Linked DNA regions of Drosophila melanogaster. The protein of the gene in region 1 interacts with the protein of each later gene in a pairwise test. Each region holds a gene or a part of one and is shown in the gene's direction. Other genes may lie near its edges. The genes, in order: SkpC, eIF2Bdelta, RpS15Aa and Np.

What was found.
Region 2: the proteins of SkpC (region 1) and eIF2Bdelta interact in a two-hybrid assay, tested with the Drosophila melanogaster proteins (one large-scale study listed by BioGRID).
Region 3: the proteins of SkpC (region 1) and RpS15Aa interact in a two-hybrid assay, tested with the Drosophila melanogaster proteins (one large-scale study listed by BioGRID).
Region 4: the proteins of SkpC (region 1) and Np interact in a two-hybrid assay, tested with the Drosophila melanogaster proteins (one large-scale study listed by BioGRID).

Annotation. Positions count from the first base shown.
Region 1 is NC_004354.4:19,814,361-19,817,261, forward strand, and holds SkpC (SKP1-related C), read left to right. Parts: upstream 1-1,711; 5' UTR 1,712-1,777; coding exon 1,778-2,254; 3' UTR 2,255-2,340; downstream 2,341-2,901.
Region 2 is NT_033778.4:23,384,516-23,389,553, forward strand, and holds eIF2Bdelta (eukaryotic translation initiation factor 2B subunit delta), read left to right. Parts: upstream 1-2,005; 5' UTR 2,006-2,107; intron 2,108-2,274; 5' UTR 2,275-2,282; coding exon 2,283-2,312; intron 2,313-2,388; exon of another isoform or gene 2,389-2,491; coding exon 2,492-3,097; intron 3,098-3,156; coding exon 3,157-3,717; intron 3,718-3,773; coding exon 3,774-4,457; 3' UTR 4,458-4,537; downstream 4,538-5,038. Other genes in the region: CG30414 (uncharacterized protein), read right to left, coding at 1-131, 187-434, 490-532, 598-811; roh (reduction of Rh1), read right to left, coding at 1,463-1,530, 1,602-1,782; Mtmr6 (myotubularin related protein 6), read right to left, coding at 5,006-5,038.
Region 3 is NC_004354.4:13,335,084-13,339,399, reverse strand, and holds RpS15Aa (ribosomal protein S15Aa), read left to right. Parts: upstream 1-1,761; 5' UTR 1,762-1,895; intron 1,896-3,020; 5' UTR 3,021-3,022; coding exon 3,023-3,415; 3' UTR 3,416-3,763; downstream 3,764-4,316. Other genes in the region: CG15747 (uncharacterized protein), read right to left, coding at 1-948, 1,015-1,025.
Region 4 is NT_033778.4:9,003,578-9,008,227, reverse strand, and holds the start of Np (notopleural), read left to right. Parts: upstream 1-1,640; 5' UTR 1,641-1,739; intron 1,740-2,851; exon of another isoform or gene 2,852-3,224; intron 3,225-4,650. Other genes in the region: CG8172 (uncharacterized protein), read left to right, coding at 1-357, 442-657.

The DNA of each region.
Region 1 (2,901 bases):
TGAGTGGGTTGCGGGTAAGGTCGGTTAGATTTTAATTAATATTTAATAGCTTATAGTCTAGCAATATAATTAGGGTTCAAGCAATTGTTCTCAGTGTATTCATTTGTCGCGTTAATCTGTATAGAATTTGTTCAACTTTGGGAAAAACAAGAGAGAATGCTATAGTCGAGTTCCCCGACTATCAGATACCCGTTACTCAGAAAAATCGATAGATATAAAAAAAAATTATAAAAATTTTAAAAAATTATTCCAAAGTGTGGGCGTGACCGGTTGGGCGGTTTTAGGGCGTTCGAGTGGGTGTGGCAAAATTTTTGTTTTTATCAATAGAAATTTACGAGACTAATAAAAATTTGAAATAATATCAACACGTTTTTCGAAAGTGTGGGCGTGGCAGTTTTGTGCGGTTTGTGGGCGTGGCAAATTAAATAAAAATTAAAAATACAAAAGTAATATAAAATAAGTCTCCTCCTTGGGTTCACATTTAAAGGAATTATTGCGAATAATTCAAATATTTGCGGATATAATTATTCAGAAAATTTCTCTCAGTGTACATTCGCAGTTTGATATCTTTCACGCAAGTATAGGTTTAGGTCCGATAGAATTTATCAATATGTTTACTTCAGCAGAAACTTCTCCCTCTGTATTCATGTCTTCTAACCCTAAAATTATTCTTGTCCACATGCTCACTTTTTTTAATTAATATATCTTTTAAGCATTTAAATTAAATACAAATCTTAGGGTTTTGGTTTATGTGCGGCTGCTGTCAATCGATGGGAAGGGGTGATCCCCGGGACGGCTCGAAAAGGGTGCTCCACAAGACGGCATGACTCGAGTTCATTTTTTTGCTGACCGCCTAATAGGTTAGAGCCTTTGCGTCAACTGGCACACAAAAAAAAAAACTTAAATCGCGTTCCGTTTGGCGGCTAGGAAAACTCACTCGAATAATGGTATTTTCGCACTTTGTTTTTGCTATCCAAAACGGACACTTTTTTGGCCGAATTGCATCCTCATCCTCGTATTAAGTACGTAATTAAGTACTAAAGCTAGCAAATCGAAATTCTTCTTTGTATCTTGGATTTAATATTAATATATTATTTTGGAACTCGGTTCAAAATACAGTTTTACGGTAACTGAAAATTTTGATTCTGTTAAGTGTATATATTTTATGGAAAGCAAGTTACACATAATTGGAGTGTTTCATAAAACAATAATAATACAGTAAAAGGGAATGTTAGAATCGCTAATGAGTATGTAACAGGTAGAAAGTGCCTTCTGTCCGTCTGTTTTTCAAATGAAAAAATATATATTTAATTTAAAGTTTTTTTGAAAAATTAGAGCAAGTAATGTAAGCCCACGTGCTATTTTCCAGTTCCCTCTGTTAAAAATATTTTTTACGGGGTTCTTTCCGGAACTATTATTTTGAAATTTTTTGATTGAGCACTTACCCAACATTCATATAGGTTTTAAAATTCATATTACACTTTTTTTTATTACACTTTTAAGGTCTGATATGATAAATAAAACACGATTCGCGATTCTCAATAAAAAAGCTAAAGCGAATCTACAGTTCTTAATGTTAAGACTTCCAATTTCTAGTGTGTACACACTTGACGACAGTGATTCCGCAGTGATCACATCTGGTCACTCTGTTCTCTATTCTTTTTTCTTTGAACTTTCGAATCGTCCAGTTGGCACGTGCTCTATCAATCATCCCATCTTGTTCTTCTGAATCTCTTTGAACGTAGTTTGGCAAATAGAAAGGCAAGGCAAACCGAAAATGGATGCTCCCACCATCAAGCTTGAGTCCTCGGATGGGATGATCTTTTCAACGGAAGTCCGAGCCGCCAAGCTCTCCGAAACCATCAAGACCATGTTGGAGGTCTCTGCCGTGGAGAACGACGAGAATGCCATTGTGCCGCTGCCCAAGGTGAACGCGTTCATCCTATCCAAGATTCTGACCTGGATCTATCACCACAAGGACGATGATGCCCATGGAGCGGAGGGCGTGGAGTTGAGCCCGCAAAGCCCACATGACATCTCAGCCTGGGACGCCAACTTTATTAACGTCGATCAACCCACCTTGTTCGAAATCATACTGGCCGCCAACTATCTGGAGATCAAGGGCCTAGTGGATCTCTGTTGCAAGACGGTGGCCAATATGATTAGGGGAAAGACTCCCGAGGAGATCCGCCACACGTTCAACATCCCGGACGAAATACCGAGCAGGACGGCCCAGTTGGGCGAAGACCTGTGAGGCACAGTCTCTTTCGGAGCAAATCCGGTTGGGACACCTGGAACCTTCCTTTGTTGAGAACTTATTTGTTTCACCAGAATAAATATGATATTACGAGTATTTTTGAAAGCATATCTATTGTATTTTATCAACATATTCAGTTTACAGTTTACTTTGGCAACAAGAACACATAAAACATAACTTTTTAAATCGTTTCATGTTCGCTTGGGCTAAAGGAGTGCTCTGGCTCTATTCCCAGTTGATTGCCACCAAGCCGCCCGGGGATACAAGCACACACCACACACCACACCACACACCGACCCACTCCACTCCATAGCACCCCAATCCCGGAATCCTGGTGCTCCTTAAGCCGGTTCCTGATTTGGCAGCCACGCTAATTTCCAAAAGCCTTGGCCGTTGGCGCTTATGAGCTCTGCATCCATGAAGTTCGCATTACGTATGTAAAATAGTGCAGAAAACCCCCAAATGAACCCAAGCCCAGGGTCCCAATCCTCGTATTCCAAACCCTTGGACACAACTTACGCACTTTACATACCGTTGCGGGGTGGGGAGGCGGGTGGTGGGTGGCAGGAGGCTGGGCAATGTCCTTTATTGTAAGTTAAGTTGCTGCCCACACATCTGTGTGTGAATGTGGGAGGGGGCGGCCT
Region 2 (5,038 bases), on another chromosome or scaffold:
GTTGTACACAGTGGCCCTCTGGAGCCTCCGGCTGGGCGTGCCATCGTTGGTGACACCCCAGCCGGTGATGTTGAAGATGGGACTTTCCGCCATGTGTCCCTCGACCAGGAGACAGATCGGCCGGACGTAGTCTGAAAGATATGTCCACTGCTTAGGGAGCCCTGGCTGCTGGATCCACCTCATTACCTGAGTACTGGACGAAGCTCTTCATGCGCAACAGGCCGATGTCGTTGTCCAAGTTTAGGTTATAATCCGCATGCAAAATCTTTCTATCCACAGCGAGTTCATATGACTTGGGCACGCAGCAATCCTTGCCAGGAAAGCGGGTGTCATACTCGCCCAAGCGTATTCTCCTGAGTTTATATGACTTGGGCACGCAGCGCGAGCAATCCTTGCCAGGAAAGCGGGTTTTATACTCGCCCAAGCGTACTCTCCTGTGGAAATGGGAATTCGTAAGTGTTCGCCGAAAGACAGTGCTGCCTCACTTACATGTGTGTACTAACGATGCAATGGGCGGCCGTGAGAACGAAGCCTGAAAGTATTAGCAGCAGGTGACTGGACAAAGAACTCATTCGTGGGCCACATTTGAATACTTACGACTGGTGATTAGCGAGCCACCACATAGTTTCTCGCCTAGCACCTTCACCATCCATGGATTTGAGAATAGGCCTGCGTCTGCGCCCCCGGTGATCATTGGGATAAATTCTGGTTTTGTCGTGCCACAACTGGAGTCTAGCAGGTGACCAGGTGCTCCTTCACCCAACTGGATGGAGCAGACCAGAAGAGCTAATCCAGCTGCGATGAACTTCATCTTTTCGCGGTAATGGAGCGACTGGCAAGCTTAGTCGAGTTTGAGGTAATTTTTGAGGAATTTTATGTTGACCAGCTGATAACAGTACACTCTTTATGACCGTCAACGGAAACGGATATGATAGGAATCAGTGTTTTGTTTTAATGAGTGCTCTCAGTACTTTTTTATTTTTATTTTATTTACGAATCTGGGGAAATTCCAACTCACTACCAAAAATTAGACCCCTGTGATGCTTTGTCTTGCGCCAACTACTTATACAAATTTGAACTTGAATATTTTTCCTGCTTAGCTTCTCGATTAACCCTTCGAAATGCAGTTATCTGGGTAAACGAATATTCATCGCGATCAGTTGTGGAATATAATTTAATCTATTCTTTAATAAATCCAATTAAATGCTGCTAGTTATGAATTTTAATAGTAACAAGCAACTTAATTTGTGTTTCATATAACAAATCATTAGTGTGACCGAACTCAACTCATAGGTGGTGTCATAGCCGCATAATAAGACCGTATTTGGATGTTGCAGTGCACTCTCCAATAAGAATCAAGTTTAACCTCGTTTCAAATCATTTATTCGCCGATTTCACGTTGGGTCCGACACAAACAGCTCTGAAATGTTGATGCGACAATTAAGACTAAGTTACTGGCCGCCTAGTGGTGCTCGGCGTGCTCCTTGGCCTGCGATTCGGCCCATGCCTTCTTGTTCTCGGGCGAGTTGGCTGAAAATGGGCAGGAGGGAGAAGTGCATTAGTACAAGGGGCCCAGAGGTCGCGAGGCGAGTGTTACGCACCCAGCTTGCTGATCTTGTAGAACACGGGCACGCAGGCCACGGCCGCAATGAAGTAGTAGCGCCAGATCCATTGGTTCTTGATGTAGTGCTTGATGGGGAATTGGGCTATCTTCGCGGAGAAAGTGTATGGGTAGCGCATGGGGCGTCCAGCGGGTTTCTCGGCAGCAGCTTTGTCGGCCATGGTAGTCGTGGAATTCGCAGCTGTGGAGGGTCGAATTAAACGAAATCAATTTACGCAAAAATTATGTAATTTTCGGAGGCGGCAGACGAACATACGAACCTCACAAATAAAAGACAGCTATGGGAATGCCAACTCGTGCGGCGAGGAAAGCACCAAAAATGACACTGGCTGCTAGCGAGTCTGGCAAGGCCGGCCATGTGTTTACCGCGGCGAATCAAGACGGTTATCGATTCACTTACATCGCTATCAACTGGTGGACGTTTTTTTGCCATCGTGAGCAAAACTTTCGAGTTACTTTTCCCGAATAATAATATAGAATCGTAAGGTAAAGACAGCAAGCACACTGCTTAGGTGCTATAAGCCAGCATTCGTGCTTACCCATAGACGCAGGATTCAGCTTGGATCTTAATTGCACCGCCACAGGAGTCTGAACCTTTTTTAACCTTTTCACATCCTTTTTCACCTTAATTGCCATGTCTCTCTCTTTTCAAGCTTTCAAAATGGTTTTAACTAGCGAACAGGTGCCACAGGTAGCTAGCTTGCCTCTTAGTAACTAATTTGCCAAGTAGCGAGTTTCCCAAATTTAGTTTTGATTTAGCATGTCGGCCGATTTGATTTCGTATTTGATCCAAACAGTTTGATAGTTTTACATATTGTTACATCAATAACTAATTCCGTACTCCCTATCTGGACTGGGACTGACGCCCAGACTTTGAAGAGCAAGCACAAGAAGCAAAGGCAACGCAATCGACCGCGCAACAAACGAAATCGCCTGGAAGACAGCCATTCAACGACACAAGAAACATCAGCCATCGACGCCACGAGTGCAATGCCCGGAAATGCTGTGGATCCATTGGCCACGGAGAAGACTCGTGACCAGATAATGGCCGAGCGGGAGGCGAAGAAGCTGGCTAAGCAGGCCAAGAAACAGAAAACTGCACCGACTCCTACTGCCGCCACTCCTGCTGTTCTGACCACTCCCTCTGCTCCGGCCACCAAAATCATCACTGAAGTGGAGCAGACCACCATTACCACTAAGCTGACGACCACCACCACAACAAAGGTGCAGGATGCAGTGGCTTCAAAGACGACTCAGCCAGCTGCGGTAAATGGCAAGGATGCGGAGGCGGGTGAAAAGACACGCGAGCAGATCAAGGCGGAACGCGAGGCCAAGAAGGCAGCCAAGAAAGCTGGCAAAGGCGGGGGAGCCAAGGTAGAGGGCATCGCACAACAGCTCGCTGACCTGAAAGTAGCAGAAAAAGCTCCAGTCGCAGCCAGTGCTGCACCTTCGACAACAGAAGCGGACCAGGAAAAGGTAACTTGCTACATTTATGATTTCCTTGCTTCATATACATCTCACCTCACCTTGCACAGAAAAAGCCAGCTCTTAGCAAAGCGGAGCGTCGCGCTATCCAAGAAGCCCAACGGGCAGCCAAGGCCCAGGTACAGACTAAAAAGGCCCAGCATGCAGCCAAGGCACCACCCAGCGCAGCTCCCAAAGGGCCGAACCGGAAGAGCGTTTCCCCCACCACAGCGGCCACCAGCAGTTCCCCCGTCAAATGTCCAGCCAGCACGCCCAATGTAGACTGCCGGGTGAAGCTGTTCAACCATCTGGTGTGCGCCAAGGAAGACAGCCAGTTCATCAACGATCCACTCGTTCATCCGAGCATTGCGCGCTTGGGTGTTCAGTACGCCAAGCGCACGGTGGTGGGGTCCAATGCTCGATGCATTGCCTTCCTGCACGCCCTGCGCCAGGTTGTCCACGACTTTGAGACGCCCGCCAAGAAGGAGTTTGGTCGCAGCCTGGACGCCGCCGTGAAGCACCACGTAGACCACCTGCACAAGTGCCGACCGCTGGCCGTGTCCGTGTCCAATGCGTACAAACAATTCAAGAACCAACTGACACAGCTGCCGGCGGATGTTCCCGAAACGGAGGTAAGAATCAAAATATATTTTTTTAACTCAATTGGTAACATGCATTTGCTCAACAGTCGAAGGAGCTGCTCGTCCACTTCATCGATACTTACATTGAAAATCAAATCGGCAAGGCGGCCCAAGCGATCAGCGGTTTTCTGCAGGAAAAGATCACCGATGGCGACGTGCTGCTGACCTTCGCCTGTTCCTCCCTCATTCAGTTCATCTGCGAGGAGGCCAAGCGGCGCCAGGTGGCCTTCCGCGTGATTGTCGTCGATTCGCGACCCGGATGCGAAGGCCAGGAGCTGCTGCGCCGACTGCACGCCACCGGAATCCCGTGCACCTACGTGCTGATCAACGCCGTGGGCTATGTGATGGCGGAGGCCACGAAGGTGCTGCTGGGAGCACACGCCCTGCTGGCCAACGGATACGTGATGGCGCGAACGGGCACCGCCCAGGTGGCCCTGGTGGCCAATGCCCACAACGTGCCGGTGCTCGTGTGCTGCGAGACGCACAAGTTCAGCGAGCGCTTCCAGACGGACGCCATCGTCTACAACGAGCTGAGCGATCCCAACCAACTGGTGCGCGGCGACAAGTGCCAGCTAAGCAACTGGGCGGCCAAGGGAAAGCTGTTGCCGCTCAACCTGAGCTACGACATTACTCCGCCGGAGCTGGTGAGTGCCGTGGTCACCGAGGTGGCCATCCTGCCCTGCACCAGTGTTCCCGTCATACTCCGCATCAAGCCAGACATTGGCTACTAATCAGACTTCATCGATCGCTCAGTAGAACTCGCAGTTGTTGAATAAATAAGTTTTATTACACTTTGATCAAATCGACAAACAAGATTGATGCGTAGTTCATAATTTACGGGTATGCTAGTGGAATATGCTTGATGCCAGGGACCGCTGCTGCGAAGGAGGGCTAGGCCCAAGTGTCTGTACATCCGGCAGACCGCCGAGTTCCTCGGAAATTATAAATATTTTGATCAAGAGCAAGTCTGCGCTCTGACATGCAATTGTACTTTCCGTGCGGGTGGGGCTGGGATTAGCAAATATGTAGCTCTAGATTCTAATAACAAAATACAGTTTTGTGCCCGGCTTATAGACTAGGACGATGCCTGGAAGCCAATCGCTGGTGGATTGATTTGGTTTTGCTCTTTTGATTTCCATTTGCAACAACTTGAATGAGCTTCTACAAGCAGCTAAGTCTACAAATGCAACAATAAATACACACAATAAATTTAATAGCGTTTCCATATCGATTGCACACCCTAGCTCCGCTCCATTCCTCGATCCTGCCTGCCTTGCCTCTACGGGCTTTGCTTTTGCATTTGCCGGAAGCA
Region 3 (4,316 bases), 6.5 Mb from region 1:
TTAACGGGCTCTGAACTTTCCGGAGCCTTGTCCTTATCCTCCTTTTTGATCTGGGACAGCTTATTCTTTTCCTTCTCATTCTCCTTCTCGTCTTCTTCATCGCTGGAGTCGTCTATGCTAAAATCAGAATCGGCATCTATGTTGTTGGTCAAATGTGCCTGCGCTGGTATGCTTTCCGTTTGATCCGTTGACTTCGTGGCGTCCGAGGCTGCGTCTGATTTGCTCTTAGTCTGCTCCTCTTCATCCTCGGAGGGGCGACGTCGCCGATAGCTTCGATGCTTGACAGCCTCTGCCTTAATGGGTTTGTATGCCACCTCGTCGGTGGTGGGCGCCGTCTTTGGCTTGACGACATCCTGCTGGGCGGGACCGCCCAACTTTTGTTCGTATAGATGGCGATAGAAGCCGTCCAGATCCTTTTGCTTGGTCACATCGCCAATGGCCTCGAGGTACTCATCACGCTGCTCCTGCTCCTGCATCTGGCGTATGGACTCGAGCTTCTTGCGGTAGGCGGCAGTCACGTAGGTGTCCTTGTCCTTATACATCTCGCCCTCGGCTTCGCGATCCTTCTGCACCTGCCGTTCGATGCGCAGCTCCTTCTCCAGCTTTCTGCGCTCGGCATGCTCCATCAGCCGGCCAATGTACTTTGGTTTCCGCGGCTCCTGGCTCTTCGTCTGCTTGGCCTCCTCGCGTTTGCTGTCCATGTCATCGTACAGCTCGTCGTACTGGAATATGGTTGGATCCTCGGCCAGGGCCTTCTCCTGCTGCCGGCGGGCCACGCGGCGTTCCATTAGACTAGGACCCATGGATACGCCGCCGGTTCTTGGCTGAAATTGAGGAGCAGCTGGGTCATCATCGGTCTCGGAGTCGCTGTTCTCGTCGAAGATGGAGGGCCTTTCGACTCGTTTTAGAGGTACTTTCTTCTGTTGGCCGGGTAAAATAAGGCCATATCTGCACGGTGTTGAAACGGGTCCTTAAAAAACTGCTCAAATTGTTTATTTTTAACAAATTACTTACTGTTTTGCCATTCTTGTTTATTTATGAATAATTAGTATGACCGTCTGAAGCGACCACAAAAATCCCTCAATGGTGCAAAACTGCTGACAGCAACGCTTTACCGGCTAAAAGAACCGTTGTATATCGATAGGAGGACCATTCGATAGTATTAAGATAATAGTTTGAAACACGGATAGTATCACAAAATTCGTTATTTCAATGTGAAACTACTTTAAAACTTGTGCTTTAATCAACTTGTATTTAATTGTGTTTCAATGGACCAATCATTACTTTATTTTCTGTTTTATTGCCAAACCAAGGCTCTTACCCCTTGAAATCATGTTAGTGCAACTCTAGAGACGTAAAATACACATACAAATATGGCGAAATATTGAAACAAATTAAAATAAATTTAAATATAAATAAATTGTTATGTTAATAAAGCGTTTAATTATCACTTAAGGCCTGCTGTTTTTTTTTTATTTATTTTTTTACGCCAATGGAAACATCGGTCCTTAGTCTGGCTACGCAGAAAAATATAGACGGGATCATGATGCTCGGGGGGATCAGAGAAATATCAAAGATTACTTCTGAAGCCGTTCAAGTCTATTCACATGCATAGTGGCAGTTGGGCTCCAAATAATTGGAAGCGATTTTAGTCAAGCCAGCAACCGCGGCCTGCGTCCGGCTAACTATCGATAGGCACGTTGAGCGTAGACACATTCGACAAACGCGGCCACACTGTTCTGCGTCTTTTTCCTTCCGTTTCCCTTTCTTTTCCCTTTTTCACGTTTGCGTGAGTACGTGTACTCCGAGTTTTGTTCAACAAAATTGTATTTAACTCTCTTTTATTTCCTCTATTTGCAGCGGTCGTGTAAAACAGTTTTTGCAAACAAATCCAGGTAAATGCCGCTTCCATTGGACCCGTTTTAAGCGCGAAAATTCAGCCAGATTAGATTGGCGGCGATCGCCGGCCGAAACATGTGCAAATCCACCCAACTCCGTTTTTTTTATTACCCATTTTTTTTTACTGTGGGCCAATGTGCCAAAACTGATCAGTTTACCGTGTAAACAATGCATGAAATGCCTCGCTACATGCGCTATATATATGTATTTTTTTGGTTATAATTTTTTTAATGTGCAAACGAATATGAAGTGAAAAATTGGCCAAAGTGTGTGGCACAGTGTTGTTGTGCATGTGTGGGTGGGTGTGAGCGGCTTTAAATTGTGGCAAAAAGTTGGGCATTCAGTTGAATCGAATGCACGACCGAAAACCGGCTAAATTAAACAAATTTTTACGCAGTTTAGTTGGTAAACTTACCCGAAATAGTTGTTGTTTACAGCCACTTGTACGCACACACACACAGCCGCAGAAACACAGACAGTATCATTTTTTTTTCTTTGCTATTTTGCACGTGTTTTACTTGCTGTTTCTGCTTCTTTTTTTATTCAATGTTCCGTTCCTCGCTGATTTAAAAAGTGAAGTAAAAAACTGTTAAAAATCATAATCAATATTAAAAAACGATTCGTCGTCTGTCCGCGTGAATTTCCGAAAAGGCGCCACGCCTCCTGCCCTCCAGAAATCTAGAGTATTATAATAGTAGCCACTTTTATTGAATACTTTATTATGCTCATAATGGTTCATATGTGTTAGGGAAACCTTTTTCCAATAAGTCATATGCCACACTTGTATAGGCTCCATAAGTTGATATGTTTTGTTTAGGTGGTCAATTGATCTGTTCTTGTAGTACACATAGTTTTACGTACTTTTCAAGTTAGTTTTTCATTTAATAGGGCTTAAGCTTTGTTAGCCAACCTCATAGTACTACTTATATAGTAGTTATATGCAATTTAGTGAGATACTTTTTTTTAGTAGGCTCTGAGCACGTTTTGCTTGGTTTTGTAGACTGATTTTATAGAGCAATGGGGGTGGCAAAGTCTGCACTTTCGATTAAAGCCCAAGACATCATCTTTTTTTTTCTGTGATTATTGCCTCTTGACTAATTGTGTTCCCGAACATTTTGCAGCCATGGTGCGTATGAACGTATTGGCCGATGCCTTGAAGTGCATAAACAACGCCGAGAAGCGTGGCAAGCGGCAGGTGCTGCTGCGTCCCTGCTCCAAGGTGATCATCAAGTTCCTGACCGTGATGATGAAGCATGGCTATATCGGCGAATTCGAGATCGTCGACGATCATCGTTCCGGCAAGATCGTTGTCAACCTGACCGGTAGGCTAAACAAGTGCGGCGTCATCTCGCCCCGCTTCGATGTGCCCATCAACGACATCGAGAAATGGACCAACAATCTGTTGCCCTCGCGTCAGTTTGGTTACGTTGTGCTCACCACCTCTGGCGGCATCATGGACCACGAGGAGGCTAGGAGAAAACATTTGGGAGGCAAAATTCTCGGCTTCTTCTTCTAGAGAAACCAAGTTCGCATCGTAGAGAGTCTGTATGTGCTGCTAAGGAGTTTGATATGTAGATTGACGTTTTATTTCACCGACCATGCAACCAACTATGTACTTTGTGCACAGGAAACAAGGGGCGAAAACGCTGCTACGTTCATTCAGAAAACAAACGACGATGAATGTTCACAAAGTTACGCGAAATAAAATGATTGATACATAATAATTTTAATAACGATTTTGTCTACGATCCATATACTATGTTAAGCGGTACAGTGATAAATCAATAGCGACAGTAAAACGATCTGTTAACATAAAACCCAATTTGTGTATAATATAACCTCGACCGGAGTTACTTATAGCTGGATATTGTCAATTTTATGGCTGAAATCAAGACAATTAGGATGTTAAGAACGCGCCATGCGGTTTCTTTTGAGGTGCTTAAAACACGGTTACGTGCTTTCCATAATGAAAGTAAGGGCCAATTGTTCCCACTCTTGACACCTTAAAGCCAAAAATGATTAGACCATCATAGTTTTGGTATTCCCACCTAGGTTTCTTATTATTTGTTAGAACTTCTTCACCAAGAAAACCTCAATTACTGTCAAAAATTGTTTATGAAGCAAATAATGCTTGTTAGAATTTGTTGTAGTTTCTATAGAACAAAATGTACATGTAAAACGTACATTTACATGCTTCTTCAGGTTTTCAACTGTTTTCCAGCACAAGTTCCGAATTTATGCTGTAGATAACTGCTGCAATTTTTGAGTAAAAATTTGTTTTAATTATGATAAAGTGTATTCACTCGATGAGTCAAATTTGATGTTATCTCAAGTTATCCCTAGGGAGTACTAGGTTTTTTATGAACGGGTGTTGGGTTTGTGATATTCGTTTTTAGGCATTACTTGTTATCAACACT
Region 4 (4,650 bases), on another chromosome or scaffold:
ATCCGATTGGGCGAGTGGGATGTTCGTGGTCAGGAGGAGCGCCTAAACCACGAAGAGTATGGCATCGAGCGAAAGGAAGTGCATCCCCATTACAATCCGGCAGACTTTGTAAATGACGTGGCTCTGATCCGCTTGGACAGGAATGTGGTCTACAAGCAGCACATCATACCCGTCTGTCTGCCTCCTTCCACCACCAAATTGACTGGTAAAATGGCCACTGTGGCTGGGTGGGGGCGAACCCGACACGGCCAGAGCACAGTTCCCTCCGTACTGCAGGAGGTGGACGTGGAGGTGATCTCGAATGATCGCTGTCAGCGATGGTTCCGGGCAGCGGGTCGCCGAGAGGCCATCCACGATGTGAGTAAACATTGGCATAGACTTAAGACCGGCATAGGTCTTCCCTTAAAAAAGATCTACATTGAGCAACTTCTTTTCGTCCAGGTCTTCTTGTGCGCAGGCTACAAGGATGGCGGCCGGGATTCGTGTCAGGGCGACAGTGGTGGTCCACTAACATTGACCATGGACGGTCGCAAGACCCTGATCGGATTGGTGTCCTGGGGCATTGGCTGTGGGAGGGAACACCTGCCCGGCGTCTATACGAACATCCAGCGTTTCGTGCCCTGGATCAACAAGGTTATGGCCAATGACAACGCGTAGGCGCCAACGCGCAGGTGTGCGTCCGCTGCGGAGATGCATGCCGTCAGCCAGGCCATGTGATTCCTCTACGACTCGGGGTTGCTAGTGTGTAAGACCGAGGTCCTTGGGGCCTTGTATTTATTTTATCATACTCCACATCCTAGGGTTCCTCGACTCAATCAGTCCAACCGTTCGATCCCTCCACCCTTCATTCGACTTCATTGCATTCCACGCATTCTATTTAAGTTTTCTATATTTATTAAACACTGTTCGAATAATTCCTACATTTGCGATCCACTTTCACTGACATCGTATTGATACCAATAATTATGTTTTAAAAATAAAAACAAAATGTACCAAAATACCATGGCTTTTTATTGACAAACGTCTGATGTGAACATCAAAGATAATTTTAATTACAACTTTTTAAAACTTTATAAAACCTGCATTAACTCGCTGAAATTCATGCAACAGAATTTAACTTTTACATTGCAATTTCCATTTGACGTGGTTCGCGTCTTGGGTAAATAAAAACAAGCTGCATACTTTCAGGCAGCATCTCAATCAATATACAGATGATGCACAAAGAACATGATTTCGAAATGGTTTGGAATCTGTGTTTATCTTGTTGGGCAAATAAGAAACAGAGGCAGCAAACATTAGCCAGAAATGCCAGAACAGGCACGAACATCAAACAGAGATATCTTCTGAGATAGCGCGGGAAATCCAAAACTGGGTCCATGGCCGTGCAACAGGTGCCACATGCTGAGCATGATCTGAATTTCTAATGAGCCCGACTTCCGCTGGCCACCAAGCAGTAACCAATGACCAGTATCATCGCTGGGCATCAAAACTCAATAACATAATCAGGGGGAGAAGAATCGAAAAGGAGCTTATCAGCAGCTCTCCTCTCTCACCAGGCCTCGCTCTTAGCATCCACATTGGCATCCACTTCTTCGGGCAATTGGCCAAAGAATCGGGGATCGCTTGGCTTTCCAGGCCTCAGTTGCTGTGGAGCAGCCCCAGTGTCAAGGTCTCTCGAGTTCAAGGAACGGCCAAAGACACGCGTCATCGCCAAGTCAGTCAGTGGTTGATAGTTAATTGTGCGTTTTGTTTTGCTTGCTTCATTAAACAGAGATGTTGTGAGGCGCGATTCTTGTGTGCTGTATAAATGTGTTTCTTTGGCAGTCTAAATGGCCTTTTCACAAGACCTAATGATGTGTGGATTAGAGCGTGTGATGGTCGCAGTACCTAAACAAAAGAAAAATTCCTACAATTTGTGCATTGATTAAAGGACAAAAGAAGCTAGAAGCCAGCTTTAATTTGTAGCAGAAGTTCAATATTTCCCTTCCTGAAATGAGCAAAGTGTTTTTCCCCAGAAGTGCTGCTCCTTAGAAGTTTCTTCCCATACGTTTCTCGGAAAACGTACTTAAAAGCCAAGGAAGTCACCATGCAATTCTTATCAGCCAACTGGTTTGCCTGTGAGAGCCGCAGCATAATAAAGATTGACTTTCTTAACCTGACGACGTGCATAAATTAAAAGACAAACAAACGGTGGCCCCCCACACTCACACACTCTCACACTCGCACAGGTGACAAAGAATGGCGAGCAGCAGCAAAAACACACTCATTTGCAACACAAAATATATATATTAAAAGAAAAAGCCACGATGTGTGCATGTGTGCGTGTGTGTGTTTGTGCTGTCTTCTGCTTCTTGCTATTTTAATGTGAAAGCGCTGTTAACCCCAAACTCCCCCCGCCACAACCGCCACCACCCCCCGCCAAACACCTTGTGCCGCCAATCAGCTGTGAGCCGCCTCAAAAAGAGAGAGGTGGCCAAAAGAGAGAGAGGTTCATTTGAATAAGAAACAGAAACAGAAACAGCGCCTAGCTTTTGGCCGTTCTCGGTGTTGGCCTTAATGAAAACCGTTATGCGCGTAGCGCAGTCGACGCCGACTGCACGCATGCGCACATGTTGGTGGTTTGGTTTTGGTTTTGGTTTTGGCTTTGACTTTAACTTTGAGCCGGAATGAGCGTGCGAGCGAGAGAGAGAGAATCAGCTAACTTACCAATTTCGTCTTACCAAGTTCTTCAGCTCTGCCGGCGTGGCCAAATCTCAGTCGCAGCGGGCAGCGGCAGCGACGGCAGCAGTGCCAGTGGCAGAGGCAGTGGCTTCACCTGGTTTGTGGATCTTTTGTGTGAGCTCCACACCGCAGACGTGCGCAACTTGTCGCGCTCTTAACTTGGTCTTCTGCTCGTCTTCCGTCTTCCGCGACTGTGTGTGTGTGTGCGAGTGCGTCTGTACTCGGGGACTTAGCGAGTGTGCGTGTGTGTGTGCGAGTGTGAGTGAAATAATTGGCCTGACCCAAAGTCCCGAGGCAAGTTCAAGTGCAAGAATACAAGCCAAAACCAAAGCAACGAAATCCCAACCGGGAAAGGAAACGAATCTCGGGAAACAAATTTTCCCAGGCGGCTAACAGTGCTTTGTGTGATCTTTTTTTGAAAGAAGCGAAAGGTAGAACTGCGGAAAAAGGCCGAGAGCCAGTGTCAAAAGTGAAGAAACTCATAAAACGAACGAGCCACAAACGTAAGAGTTATAATCACACTCATATGGTAACAGCGAATTAAATGAAATGACCCAAAATAGCTGGCAGCAGTGAACCGAAGCTCGACGTCAACTGGCAGCCAACGCAAGTAAATGCAAAAGATCCGAGACTCAGATACGCATCCGCCAGATACGCCGGCTCTTTTTTCCCCTGTGCCAGTGGTTGTGCCCAAAGTGCTTGTGCACTTTCTACCGCGTACAAGTCAATTAAGCGCCAACTCACTGCGGTCACAGAAACAGAAACAGCAACAGACTCAGATGCATGTGCTAAGATACAGATACAGATTCAGATACAGATACCGAGCAGCCGATAGATGCGCATAACTGCAACTAACTGCACCAGCAGAGGCTGCAAAACAAGAGCAGCCAGTTCAAGCGCCGCAAACACGGCCAAAGCTCGAAACGAGTCCAAAGCAAAAGTCGCTCCCTCCTCTGTAAATTTATTGAAATTCCTGTAAAATGCAAGCGAGCCAAAGCGGCGTGCCACAAGAGTTGGGGCACCAGCACCACCACCACCACCAACAGCAGGAGCAACAGCAGCTTAGTACAAGTGTTTCAATTGCGCTGCCACTGCCGACTGCTTCTGCTTTTCCCTCAGCGACCGAGAAAAGGCAATCTTAAGCAGAACTTTGCTTGCTCCAGCTTCCTTTGGCTCCTCGGCAAACGATTTTTGCTTTTCGGTTTAAAGAACTGGTCTGATTGTGGTTATGCCAATGGCAAGTCGTGGGTAACAGGGGTTAGATGGACTGGGAGTTAATTATATAAGGGATAGTTTTATTCAGTTAAAAGTATCATACAAGCTGAGATTGACCAAATACAAGTGATGCAGTTTTTATGTTCATTCAGGTTACTCTATGTTAGATTTTATATATTTTGTGATAAGTACCATAGGGTCGACCCCCCTGCGACAACCACACACGGCTCTTCCTTATTGTTGGAGGCCTGCCAGTCCGCCTGTCTTTGGTCTAAAACGCACTCGACAGCTGGGAGGGCGGTGGGGGGCATTGGAGGGGTGGAGCACGTTTGTCTTGCGGCCACAGATGATCTGTAGGCAGTAGGAAGCCTGTTGCGTTATTTGCATTTCACGTTCTGGGGCCGCTCTGGTTTATACAGGTTTGCCGGGCAGATCGCCTGTCAGGAGAAGTTGATGATGGGGTGATAGGATGAGGCTGCCTGCGTAGAGTAGCGCAAAATGGCTCGCCGTAATTATTGTAATTTGCATTCGGCATTTGCAATTGAGAAATTGCCGTTGATGGTTGTATTGAACCTGCAATGGCAGCTGCTGAAACAATTAGGCGGCCCTCAGCGGCAGGCGATGCGCACGCCTGCCCATCGAGTTTGTGCCCTAAGTCTTTCGTTTTGAGCTAATGAGCTGGGCTTAGCTGGACAGCCAGATGGGGACATGTGG